Oryzias latipes: one gene and its partners. The main gene of each other region encodes a partner of the protein of the gene in region 3 in a complex. Links are inferred from orthologs where the notes say so. Each region holds a gene or a part of one and is shown on either strand. Other genes may lie near its edges. The genes, in order: cpsf3, cpsf4 and cpsf2.

Evidence for each region.
Region 1: cpsf2 (region 3) and cpsf3 share a complex: the UniProt entries of both Homo sapiens proteins name them as parts of the cleavage and polyadenylation specificity factor (CPSF) complex. The link is inferred for Oryzias latipes from reciprocal best matches to the Homo sapiens genes CPSF2 and CPSF3.
Region 2: cpsf2 (region 3) and cpsf4 share a complex: the UniProt entries of both Homo sapiens proteins name them as parts of the cleavage and polyadenylation specificity factor (CPSF) complex. The link is inferred for Oryzias latipes from reciprocal best matches to the Homo sapiens genes CPSF2 and CPSF4.

Annotation. Positions count from the first base shown.
Region 1 is NC_019882.2:22,750,155-22,753,520, forward strand, and holds part of cpsf3 (cleavage and polyadenylation specificity factor subunit 3), read right to left. Parts: coding exon 3,211-3,366; intron 3,137-3,210; coding exon 3,047-3,136; intron 2,323-3,046; coding exon 2,172-2,322; intron 2,086-2,171; coding exon 1,910-2,085; intron 1,200-1,909; coding exon 1,041-1,199; intron 681-1,040; coding exon 534-680; intron 1-533. UniProt on the Homo sapiens protein: Component of the cleavage and polyadenylation specificity factor (CPSF) complex that plays a key role in pre-mRNA 3'-end formation, recognizing the AAUAAA signal sequence and interacting with poly(A) polymerase and other factors to bring about cleavage and poly(A) addition.
Region 2 is NC_019866.2:19,283,261-19,287,687, reverse strand, and holds the start of cpsf4 (cleavage and polyadenylation specificity factor subunit 4), read left to right. Parts: upstream 1-1,553; 5' UTR 1,554-1,868; coding exon 1,869-1,971; intron 1,972-2,128; coding exon 2,129-2,179; intron 2,180-3,175; coding exon 3,176-3,328; intron 3,329-3,415; coding exon 3,416-3,511; intron 3,512-4,329; coding exon 4,330-4,423; intron 4,424-4,427. Other genes in the region: shmt1 (serine hydroxymethyltransferase, cytosolic), read left to right, coding at 1-132. UniProt on the Homo sapiens protein: Component of the cleavage and polyadenylation specificity factor (CPSF) complex that play a key role in pre-mRNA 3'-end formation, recognizing the AAUAAA signal sequence and interacting with poly(A) polymerase and other factors to bring about cleavage and poly(A) addition.
Region 3 is NC_019882.2:5,327,409-5,331,544, forward strand, and holds the start of cpsf2 (cleavage and polyadenylation specificity factor subunit 2), read left to right. Parts: upstream 1-1,315; 5' UTR 1,316-1,475; intron 1,476-1,839; 5' UTR 1,840-1,857; coding exon 1,858-2,006; intron 2,007-3,523; coding exon 3,524-3,683; intron 3,684-3,796; coding exon 3,797-3,902; intron 3,903-3,986; coding exon 3,987-4,116; intron 4,117-4,136. UniProt on the Homo sapiens protein: Component of the cleavage and polyadenylation specificity factor (CPSF) complex that play a key role in pre-mRNA 3'-end formation, recognizing the AAUAAA signal sequence and interacting with poly(A) polymerase and other factors to bring about cleavage and poly(A) addition.

The DNA of each region.
Region 1 (3,366 bases), about 17 Mb from region 3:
TTTTGTATTATTGTGTGTTCATACAGACCAGTGTGTTGTAGTTGTGAGTCTTTAGTCGTTTTAAAGACTCACAATGACATAGAGCAACAAGTGAGAGTGTGTTTTTGTTGGCTGAGGTCAGTGTGAACAAATGCTAGAAATAACCAGCAGACCTGAAGTGCAGAAATTCCATGCAGCTCCTGAATGCACCTCCAGCCACAGTGTATGTGACTTAAATGTGTGCAATAAAGTCAGAATGAAATGTTTGGGATTGATGTTCAGGCAGACACTTCAGTCCTGGATGTGAGTTTGAGCCGTCTGTCAGAGATGCTAAAGAAGACCTCACATACCAAAGTGACTAGAATAATATAATCCTTCAAAAACAACATGCTAAAAGGTGACAGTGCAGGACATGTAGAACACAGATATACTAGTCCAGGCCTGGCATTTTGCACCAAAGTCACTTTATTCAACTTCAATGTGGCTGACTCGGCGTGCACGGCTGCTTTGATAGGATGGATCTGGGCTTGATCTGCAGGTGTGTGAGTGATTACCACATGGGGAGGCTTGAGTGCTCGGATGAACTCGCTTGTCTGCTGGTAGTCTGTGTGAGCAGAGAAGGAGATGTAGTCCACAGACATCTTCAGAGGGAGCTTCTGGCCCGACATGGTGGTGATCTCGTCAGGCTCCGTCATGATGTGCTGCAACAGCAGGATCAGAGCAGGGGCAGAAATGTGAAGCACGTTTCTCTGTGGAAATGTGAGCTGGACTCTGTTTTCACTTCAAGTCTCTGAACCTTCTGAGAGACGAAGGGCAAACAGACCAGCGATGCTTCCTCCACCAGCATCAGTTCTACTTTTGACAGGTTTTCTACAGTGTTTCAGTCAAATTGGACTGATCTTCACCCTAATGTGTTCCGTGTTGTCATGGCAACACACTGCCACCCACAGTCCTTCAGCTGCATGTCAGCAGGATTCCAGCTGGTTCAAAGCGCTGCAGAGATGGAGGGGGTTTCCCCCCAGTGACGGGGGCTTTGGCTAAGCAATTCTTGGCAGGTTCACCTTGGCCAGCGTTCCCTCAACGCAGTATCCAGCGATGATGACACCGTTTCTCTTGTCCGTGCACCAGCTCTCAAACAGCTCCCGGGACAGACCGCTCTGCATCATCCCGGGGGACGCCATGACCACGCTGGGGCCAATGTCATCAAAGTGATCCATGCTCTGAAAGCACAACAGCATTAATACAGGAGGCGGCTTCAACAGAAACTCTTATTTTAACGGTTTCATTTGTCATTAATTTTTGTTCTTTAACCACCTCTTTTACAAACATTGAAGCTGTTTCAAATGAAACTACATTTAAATAAGAGGGAACTGTGTCACTTTTCCCTTTCTGCTTAAATCATTACCACGATGTTGCCTCTGTTGAAATAAAAGTGTCTTTCCCTGGACTTTTTATGCCACATTTTATGTCAAAATCCTGGGAGAAACAGCAAGTTCTCCAGTGGTGTGAGATGAACCAGTCACATTAGGCTGAAGAACAGGAAAATGCAATAAAGTGTCAAAAGTTGAGTGCTAGAACACACATGAGCAGCAATGTCTCCACTCTCCAGCTGGAGTTAGCTCCTCCACTGTGTTCATGTCTCCTGGAAGAGGCCGATGCTTCCTGACGCCTGTGCTGTTCTCCTTCCATCACTTCAGTGTCACACATTCCACACTGTTGGGAGGAAGCTTCCTCCCAGGCTGAGCAACACCATGACAGAGCATGACAGTCTGGTGAGGGGTGGGGGGGTTGGGACAGCGCTTCACTTACAACTTTGTGATGCCATCAGTTCAGTAAGTGCACATTAAATGATGCTCTGAGTTTCATGAACATGTCAGAAATGTGGCTTTGGCGTGTGACTTTGTCTTTGCTGCTGCAGTTCTGTGCTCACCTTCAGGTTACTGATGTGTTTGAAGACAAAAGGGTTGTTGACGTTGATGGCTTTGCGGATCTTGTCGTTCATGGCGTTGATGTAGGTTTGATAGACAGCCATGCATTTCCGGGCCAGAGACGAAGCGTAGTAGATGGGAATGTCGTGGAGCTCTGGGTGGTTCTGCCAGTACTCGTCTGGACCACAGGCACAAACAGTTTCTGCGTCACCATCATCACAGGCTTCAGAACCAGAAGGTGATGATCTGTGCCTGTGCACTCACCCAGGATGAGCAGCAGCTCTTGAGCCCGTCCCAGAGCAAACACGGGGATCAGACAGCGACCCTCCCTGTTTACAATGTCGTGCACCGTGTTGCAGAAACGGGCCTCTCTCTCCTCACGCTTCTCATGGATGTGTGTTCCATAGGTGGATTCCTGACAGAAAGGATCAGATATTTGTTCAACACCATTCTGAGACGGGACAGAGGACCCAATACTACCAGACCAACAGACTATGGAGACGAAAAGCTCTTAGTTTAGAATTCATTAAAACTCGGTATATTCATTTAATGAGTAAAACAAAATTCTCAATAACTCCTACGGTGTTTTTGCATTAATAACATGAGCACTTTCCATCTAGAGTCTGGTGTCTTTTGGCTGCGTGTTTGGACAGCTCACAGGTCTAACCGCCCTCAGAAGCAACGTTTTTGTGACATTTGAGACGCCGTGCGCTGTCTGCATGTACTTTAGAAAAATCCAGCCGCACTTTGGACCCTTTGCTCGCGTCGCTCTGCCATCACTGTGCGTTTGTCGTTACACACTTGTTAGCAGTGGAATACATGAGGGACAAAGTATGAGCAGCCCCCCCCCGTCGTACTGGAGCAGGAAAGGAAAAGCAGCCACATTCAAACAAAGTAGTGCACGCTGTGTGGGCGCTGCTGCCCCACTTGGCCGGTACCGTTGATCCCATTATGGCTGAAACCTATCAGTCCAGTAACTGATGACGTGGCACTGGTACCAAACGATACCGTTTCAGTACTGCATCCCTACTGATGTCTGAACATGAGACAGCATGAGACATGAGCCTGCGCCTGAGCTGGTCACTAAGGGGAGGAAAAATATCTGATCATCGGGGGGGGGGGTTTAAAGCCAAACTCACTGTGATGAGAATGTCTGGTTTCACACTTGGGATCTCCGCCGCCATCAAGTGTCTGTCCTCTTGGCGGGAGAAGTCTCCTGTGTACAACAACTGCAGGGACACAGACAAGCACTGAGCACCAGAGACAAACCGCTTTAGGAAGACGGATCCAGACACAAACCTACCTTGACTCCTGCGATCTCGATCATGAACATAGCGGCTCCAAGCACATGGCCAGCATGATAGCACCAGAACTTGATGCCAGCCACCTCCTTTACCTCGTGGAAGTTAATGGTCTCAATCTTTTCCATGCTGTCTTCCAGGTCCGTCTCCGTGTAGAG
Region 2 (4,427 bases), on a different chromosome or scaffold from region 3:
AAAGCCACTCTGAAGGAGTTTGTCCAGGCTCTGGCTCAGGGAGAGAAGTTTCAGGAGCGAGTAGCTGCGCTGAGAGCCGAGGTGGAGGCTTTTGCCGGTCAGTTCCCCATGCCCGGCCTGCCGGAACTGTGAGGCCAGACGAGAGTTGGACTAACGTTTATTGTTTAAACACACCAGTCAATGGGTGTATTCTGACCTTAAAGCATTCCTCACTTGATAATTCAATAGAATTGTTTTTATTAAAGACACATTTAAGCTCAGTCCTGCAAATGTCATTGTGTCATGATTTAGTAATGTTACAGAGTCCTGATGTTTTACTTGGGATTCACATCTTTTAGATGTTACGATCAAAACTGACTGGAAATTCATGACTGGAATTTCGATTTTTAGTAAATTAAGTCCAAAAACATTCCATGAGTATGTGTAACTCATTCACTGTAATAAAAAGATTTCATGAAACCGCCAATGAATACTGTTTTTTCTTTGTCCTTTTAAAGACTAATACAATAAAATCTTCTTATTTTTATTGATATCTAAAGTTTTAGGTTATTTTGCCATATTCCTGATAACATCATTACTTCTGCTTTCTTTTGGTTTATTTTATAGCCTGAAACGTCTATATTCCTGTCAACATGACGTAAGTCTTGAAGCAACGGGCTTTTAACAAATAGCAAAATATCATTGGCATAAAGGGATCATTTATAAATAAACTCCTGTATGAATTTCTTGATGTATCATCTCTCTTAGAGGTTTGATACAAAAAAGGGTAGAGGGTAAGGTCTGACTCCCCTTTATTTTATTTTCTATTATTTAAAAAACTGTAATGTCCAATCATTTTTACTTTGATTTAGAGTTCTTGTACAGGCATCTAAACCAACAATTACATGTTTTTCCAAATTCGAACTAATAATCGAACTTGCAAAATGTCCAATCTATTTTGTCAAAAGCCTTTTCAGCATCTATGTATTGAAGTATTAAAGTATTGAATACTGTTTTTTTTTTCTTTTTCCACTGTAGAAAAACACAATAAAAGCTTAGAAAGCTTATTCTTGCTTAAACATGTCATATCATCATGCTTCCAATGATTATAAAATGCTGAACAATTACTCATTTCTGAAGCGTCGTGTTTCACCCTAAAACCAGCAGATCACAACGTTGTATTAGAGTCTCTTATGCAGTCAATGGATCAAATCATTTGGTTGATCATACCAGACTTTGAATGAGTGATTTTTTGTTTAGGAGAGGGGTTTGCAGTGATGAAGCATCAAAAGCATTTTGTATTCATGATCTGGTGTGTGACATGCTAATCTCTGAATTGAACTTTAACCTGTTTTTTGTTTATTTTTATAAATAATTGGACATGGAAATGCATACACGAGGTGCAAGTTAAGAAAAATGATCAGATGCACATACGTGTCCAATATGTCTAAACAATAAAATAGTAAAATAAATGAAATTTTCATTCGTTTTTGGTCATTTGCCAGAGGCAAAGTGTCAGAAATGAACAGGTTTGGTTAACTCAACGGTGACATCACTCGACTTGCTCGACAATCGTTTAGATCCGTCTGAATTCGTCAGGTCAGAGGTCAATGTGCGCGCGTCCTCAAACAGAACCTCTGTCGATTCGGAGACAAAAATATTAAGTCATGTTCACCTGTTTGTTTGGAAATAGTTGATATAAGGACTTCGGTGATCCTTACCTTATCTCATTGTTATCCTCTGCTCTTGTTGTTTCGCCTGGCTCGCCCCGTTAGCCACTTTAGCTGGCTAATGAGGGAATCGCCGGCTAACAGTTTCGACATTAAGCTATCTTAGCTTAAGTTAACCGAACAAGTCTTTGCTTTGAAAGCTACCAACTCAAGGCAAACATGCAGGAGCTACTAGCAAACGTGGATCACATCAAGTTCGACCTGGAGATCGCTGTGGAGCAGCAGCTGGGAGCGCAGCCTTTGCCGTTTCCCGGCATGGACAGTAAGTGCATGGATGCTAGCTTATGCTAATGCTAGCATCTTTTTTTGTTGAGAATAACCATAGTTTTTCTCAGGTTCGCCCTCTTTGGTTTCTGTTATTTTTAATAGAAACAACACGTTATAATTGTCAGTTCAGTTATAATGTTGTCTTTTTGCAGAGTCCGGCTCAGCTGTGTGCGAGTTCTTCATGAAGGGAACGTGTATGAAAGGTAAAGCATCTACAGTCAGAAGCATCTGTTGCGCTGCTATTATTATCTGCATTTAACAGTTTTAAATGTTCAGAAACGTTTTATTTGGAAGGAAACTGCAATGTTTACATGTTGTTGGTATCGTTTGTCATTTTAGTACGTTGTAGGCGGGAACCAGTTTACTATAACTTTTTTATTACAGAAATAATAAACCGCTGAAAAAAAGTTCTTTGATAAACTAAAGAGGTGGATACAACTATTTTTAAATATTTTTCTTTCATTTAAAATGGTTAATGGTGATTATTATTATTTCTTTCTGGATATGTTTGGTAAACTAAGTAAATTTAAACTTTTTTGTTTTCTTTGCAAAAGTTTGCTTTGAAATAATTATTCTTTAAAACCTTATTTGCATTCTATTGACAAACGCTAACTTGTAAAAAATGTTTAAAATAATTTTTAAACTTTATGAAATAACTCTTTAATAACCTTATTTCCTTTTTCTTAAATAATGAGCCAGAGCTTTAGTTACAAACTACTGCTGTTTGTAAAATCCTGATTTCATTTTTTTTTAATAGATGACTTACACTGATTAAGATTTTTACAGAATTTAGTTGGGACATTTGCCCGTTCGTGGCTTTCACTGTCGTGATGTTCAGTTTACCTTTTACAGCTCTATATTTCATTAACTTCTTGTGTTTTATTGTGATTTTCTGTATGTACTCAGTGTCACACTAAGGCAGACATGAGCAAAATACGGCTAAAAGGTCTGGATGTAATCATTTATGTAATCATTATTGTCTGGCCTTCTTACTTTTTATTTTGTCCTGTTTATGTGCACCCTAAAACCTGTTTTACATTTCTGGGGTTACAAAGAAGGCAGTTCTGCAGAGACTTTATTTTTAATCGTATGTCTATATTTGTGTGAGGTTTTGGTGGGTCACGCTTTCATATAAAAGTGAGGAAAACGATCCCTGCATGTGTCGTATGAATCCACAAAGCTGTGTCTGTGTCTCTCAGGTGGAATGTGTCCGTTCCGTCACATCAGCGGGGAGAAGACGGTGGTGTGTAAGCACTGGCTCAGAGGGCTCTGTAAGAAGGGAGACCAGTGCGAGTTTCTGCACGAATACGACATGACCAAGATGCCTGAATGCTATTTCTACTCAAAGTTTGGTGGGTTCACTTGACTTCCTCGTTTAAAACGCTTTCCATTGCTTAGCACGCAGGTCTGATAGATTCAAACTGTGTGTTGGCTCTCAGGTGAGTGCAGCAACAAGGAATGTCCCTTCCTGCACATCGATCCAGAGTCTAAGATCAAAGACTGTCCTTGGTACGACAGAGGCTTCTGCAAACACGGTAAGGTCCAGCCCAGTGTCAGGTTTTCGTGCTCTGGATTCGTTGTAACCCACATTTTTACCGTTTTTATTTTTTATTTGATTCGGAAAGAGGCTTTATTTTGAAAAATTTCTGAATTCTCCCCACCACATCTGACTCATTCTTGACACATAACAAATTGCTCAGTGACGTGCTGACAAAAACGCAAATGTTCCTGGAAAGTTTTTTTTGTTCATAGAGCATATTAAGTGAGGAAACAGAAGAAGAGCCTTTATCTTCAAAATACAAGAAATCTGCATTTGAACAGACAAAAACCAGGAGTCTTTACTGCAAATGTGGATTCATTGTGACAGTTGTTCCCACACGCCATAACAATGGGGCATCATATTCAGCAACCTGCTGTGTAATGTTACGAGGATGTTTGCAAATAACGTTGCTGAAATGGTTTATTAGTATGTTTAGAAAATACAATTTTTAGACACAATTATTTTTCATATTTATCTGTCCTTAAAAGTCAGACGAGGCTGAAGTTGGAATTCGATTTTTGTAGCTTCCACTTTGACAGTTATGGATTAACGGGCCTGTATCCTGCTTTTCTTAAGCCTTTCAGGGTGAACTATATCCATAGAAATACAAATATTTTACAGACGATGAAGATAAACTTGACCCTCAAAAGTTAAAGGGAAACTGAAGGCAAAGATAAAAAAAAGTTGGTCGTCCCTTTCAGTCTCATACAGACTGCTGTGTGAAAATATTGACTGTTCAATCAGACCGGGGCCTGAAAAAAGTTGGGAACCACTGATATAAGTAATCTTCATTTTGTTCTCCTTCCCCACTAGGTCCTGACTGCAGACACAGACACACCAGAAGAGTGATCTGTGTGAATTATCTGGTGGGCTTCTGTCCAGAAGGCAAATCCTGTAAATTTATGCAGTAA
Region 3 (4,136 bases):
CATGATTTAGGTTTTCTTTTCCTCACCTTCCAAACAATGCACTCTTGTTTCTAAAAGCTGTCAGCTTTTGGTCTTGTAGTTTATCAAGGTACCAGCCAATCACAAAGCCCATGGGAACAAATAAATGTACCCAGTATCGGCGGGCTGCAGGATTCACCATGGCTCCCTAAAAGAATAAAACAAAAAATTATATTTACACACATTTAAAGTTGAGATGGAGGATTTGATGTCAATTAAACTGCAGTAATGACACTTATTTGGCTTTGAAATTAAGAATAAAGTAAATTTGGGCAGATTAGAAGACACAATAAAATCTAACATAACCGAGGGTGATAGCAACATGGATTTCCAATAAACAGTTTTAAAAACCCATAAAAGTATATTTTTAAATTCTATTGTCAACAAAAATTGTTGTATACATCAAATTGTTTCAAGCAACCAAAAACAAATAGGACTTGATATTTTTGGACCTCTGATGTTAAGCTGTTTATGCACCAGCTACTAGTAGATCAGGTCACGAACAACTGAAACCGTTGTTCTTTAATGTTGGTTTGCTGAAATGCAGCACTCCCAGTTGCATTCATCATTTAGTTCGTTTAAACTGTGTTTTGCTATCATTCATTCTCCTTCAAGCTACAAAAGTATGTAATCTCTGTAAAGGACGTTGAATGGCTTCCATATTTTGGAAAGAAAAAAAAAGGTTACACAAAGTAATGCTGCCTTCCTTTGACAAGTTTATCCATTTAATTTTAAGCTAACTTGACTCTTATAACACCAATAAGAACGAAAGAAGTGTTACAAACGGCAAAAAAAATAAGCCACCTCAGAGTTAAAAAAAATGGCTAAAAACAATAAATAATACTAACAAACATTGGTTAGGGATCAATTAGTTACAGTGCTGTGTAGCAGTTAGCAAATTTAGCAGCAAACATTTTATTTTGTTAGAAGAATGATTGTAATTGCTTATTTATTTACCCAAAATGTAACACAGCATTAAACAAAACAATATATTGAAAAAAACAATAATGTAATGACCATTGTAAAAAATATTACCTTATTTTTGTATCAACCAGCGGCCTTTAGCTACCGACTCGCCAAGCGAAGGACATCGGACTCTACCAATTGAGTGTCAACGACGCGGATCAGCGCGTGAAAGCCAACTTGCAAAGCTAATACATGACAAAAAGGGAAAGTTACATACTGTAGAATAATAGAATAGAATTATAATATTATACCGCATCTTTTAAAAACTACACATTTTGGCGTTGTTTTGGTGCAATTTATATTGTGGCAACACCCCTATTAGTGGTACATTCATTTGACCTGTGTCACGTGATGCTGGCGCAAAAATGTCTACCACATTAATGTTTTGTAGACAGTAGCTACTAAAGAAAATGCTTTAACTTGGGAATTGTAGTCGGTTAATTTACTTTGTTTTCTCAGGAAGGATAACTAATTCAAACCCACTTTAAATGGTATGACACACAATGAAACTGCAGTGAACAACCAGTAACGTTAACATGCTAAAAGGACTTGCCGGGTAACTAGCTAACGACCGTGCTAACTTTAGCTAACAACCACATTGTTTTGTTTTATTTATTATTTGTGTTTTTACCAAAGTCTCTTATCGGTTCCATTAATTTGTGGGATTTTAATTACGCATCTTGTGTTTAATTCCCGCCACACTAAACTTCCTTTAAATTTATAACACCTATTATATACCGTGTTTGTTGATCCTAATATTAGTTGTAATTAACGTAAACGGGTTTTTTGTACAAGCTTGTTTTAATCAAAGGTCGGTGGAAGGGCACTGTGCTAATCTTTTTTTATTTTTCACAGCGTTTATAGTGAAGAAAAATGACCTCGATTATAAAGCTGACGGCCGTGTCAGGGGTTCAGGAGGAGTCCGCCCTCTGTTATCTCCTGCAGGTGGATGAATTTCGCATCCTCTTGGACTGTGGATGGGACGAACATTTTTCAATGGACATCATTGATGCCATGAAGCGGTGAGTTTGATAGTAAATAAGAACTTTACACCCATGCATATACTTCAGAGTCTCTTGAGGGAGCTGAAGATCTTCCACCTTCCTTTGAGGCTGTTGTTGAACTTCTAAACCACCTCATCAAATCCATTCTCACCTGCTGTACCAGAGCATCTCCTCTTGGACCATTAAGCCTCAACCCCCTTTCTGGAAAAAAGTTTGAATCTGTTTGTGTTTTTTGTTTGTTTGTTTTTCTCTTAGGCTGTATTCTGGATTTTGCAGCTGACATTTCAATTTCTAGTATTGTCAAATGTTTACTGTGCCTCAAAACAGATTTGATTCTGATAATAGGTCATGCAAAATGTATATAAAGATATAAACACAGTCTGATCGTTCATTGTGATGTCGTTCGGGAAGATCTGACAGTACTTAAGCACATTTGAGCGGATAAATCCACATCACGTTGTAAACATTTGGATTGTGTATTTGGAAATAGTTCATTTTAATCAAAATCAAACTAACGAAGAGAAACAACAGAAATATAGATCTATACGTAGATATATCTAACTTAGCATAATGAGATTGTATGAGGGTGTGGTGGTGCCTGCAGCGTTATATGGGGCTGAAACATGAAGTCTGAAAGTGGTGGAAAAGAGGAAGCTGAATGTAGTTGAGATGAGATGTTTGAGGAGTATGTGTGGGGTGACACGTATGGATCGTGTGAGAAATGAAGTAATCCGAGAAAGAACTGGTGTGATGCGAGAGTTGGCTTATAGATCAGAGCAAAAGGCACTGGGATGGTTTGGACATGTTGAAAGAATGGGAAGGGAGCGATTGGTGAAAAAGGTGTACGAATCTGATGTGAGTGGAGTGAGAATGAGAGGAAGACCGCGAATGGGATGGACAGAGGGTGTAAAAAGAGCGATGAATGCAAGAGGGATGACTGTGGTGCAGGGGAGAGAGGCTGCTCAGGACAGGGATGGGTGGAGAGAGTTTGTGTATGAATGAATGGATGGGCGTGGTAGAGGTCTGGTCTTGGGATGAAGCGGCAAGGGGAAACTAGCCTTGGCTGAGGCCCTGCTGTGGAGGTGCCTACACTGGGCTGTGCAGCTGACCCTGGTGCAGTGTGGTGTGGCTTAAACCAGTCACATACCCACACACACACGTGCACACACGCACACACTGAAGGAGGAGGGTTTGTGGAAGAGAAGGAGGGCGGTAAGAATGGATACCCTGTCTAGGCTACCCCACTTTGGTGGGACACAGCCTGGGTAGATAGATAGATAGATAGATAGATAGATAGATAGATAGATAGATAGATAGATAGATAGATAGATAGATAGATAGATAGGATAATTAGTCATGAATTGATTGGAAAATATATATACATACGCATATACATCCGAATACACGTCTATAATGAAATAATTGCTACTAATCATGGACTTATTAGCTGATGATATATTTTTTTGTGAGAGGCTTTTCTGATTATGTTGATATTTCTGTTATAAACCCATTGTTGTGTAATTTTCTGCCGGCAGCTATGTTCATCAGGTTGATGCAGTTCTTCTCTCACACCCTGACCCCATTCACCTCGGAGCCCTCCCTTATGCCGTGGGCAAATTGGGCCTCAACTGTACCATCTATGCCACAATTCCTGTCTACAAGATGGGTCAGATGTTCATGTATGATCTGTATCAGGTAAAGCAGGAGAGGGACTTTTAGAATTGGCTAATGGATAAAAGATGAGGTCATTTATAGGCCTGAAATTTCTGCTTTTTTTTTGTAAATGTTTTCTGCTTTTTACCATTTAGTCTCGAAACAACAGTGAAGACTTCACACTTTTCACCCTGGATGATGTCGACAGCGCTTTTGACAAAATCCAGCAGTTAAAATACTCTCAGATTGTCAATTTGAAAGGTGAGTTTCCGTTACTTTACTGCTCTAACTTGGCCATTCTAACAATGTGTGTATTTTTAATCAATCCGTTCCCTTGGTTTTTAGGAAAAGGCCATGGTCTTTCCATCACTCCTCTTCCAGCTGGACACATGATTGGAGGAACCATCTGGAAAATTGTCAAGGATGGAGAGGAGGAGATTGTATATGCTGTGGATTTCAACCACAAGAGAGAAATGTAAGTAACGTCAAAGCAAA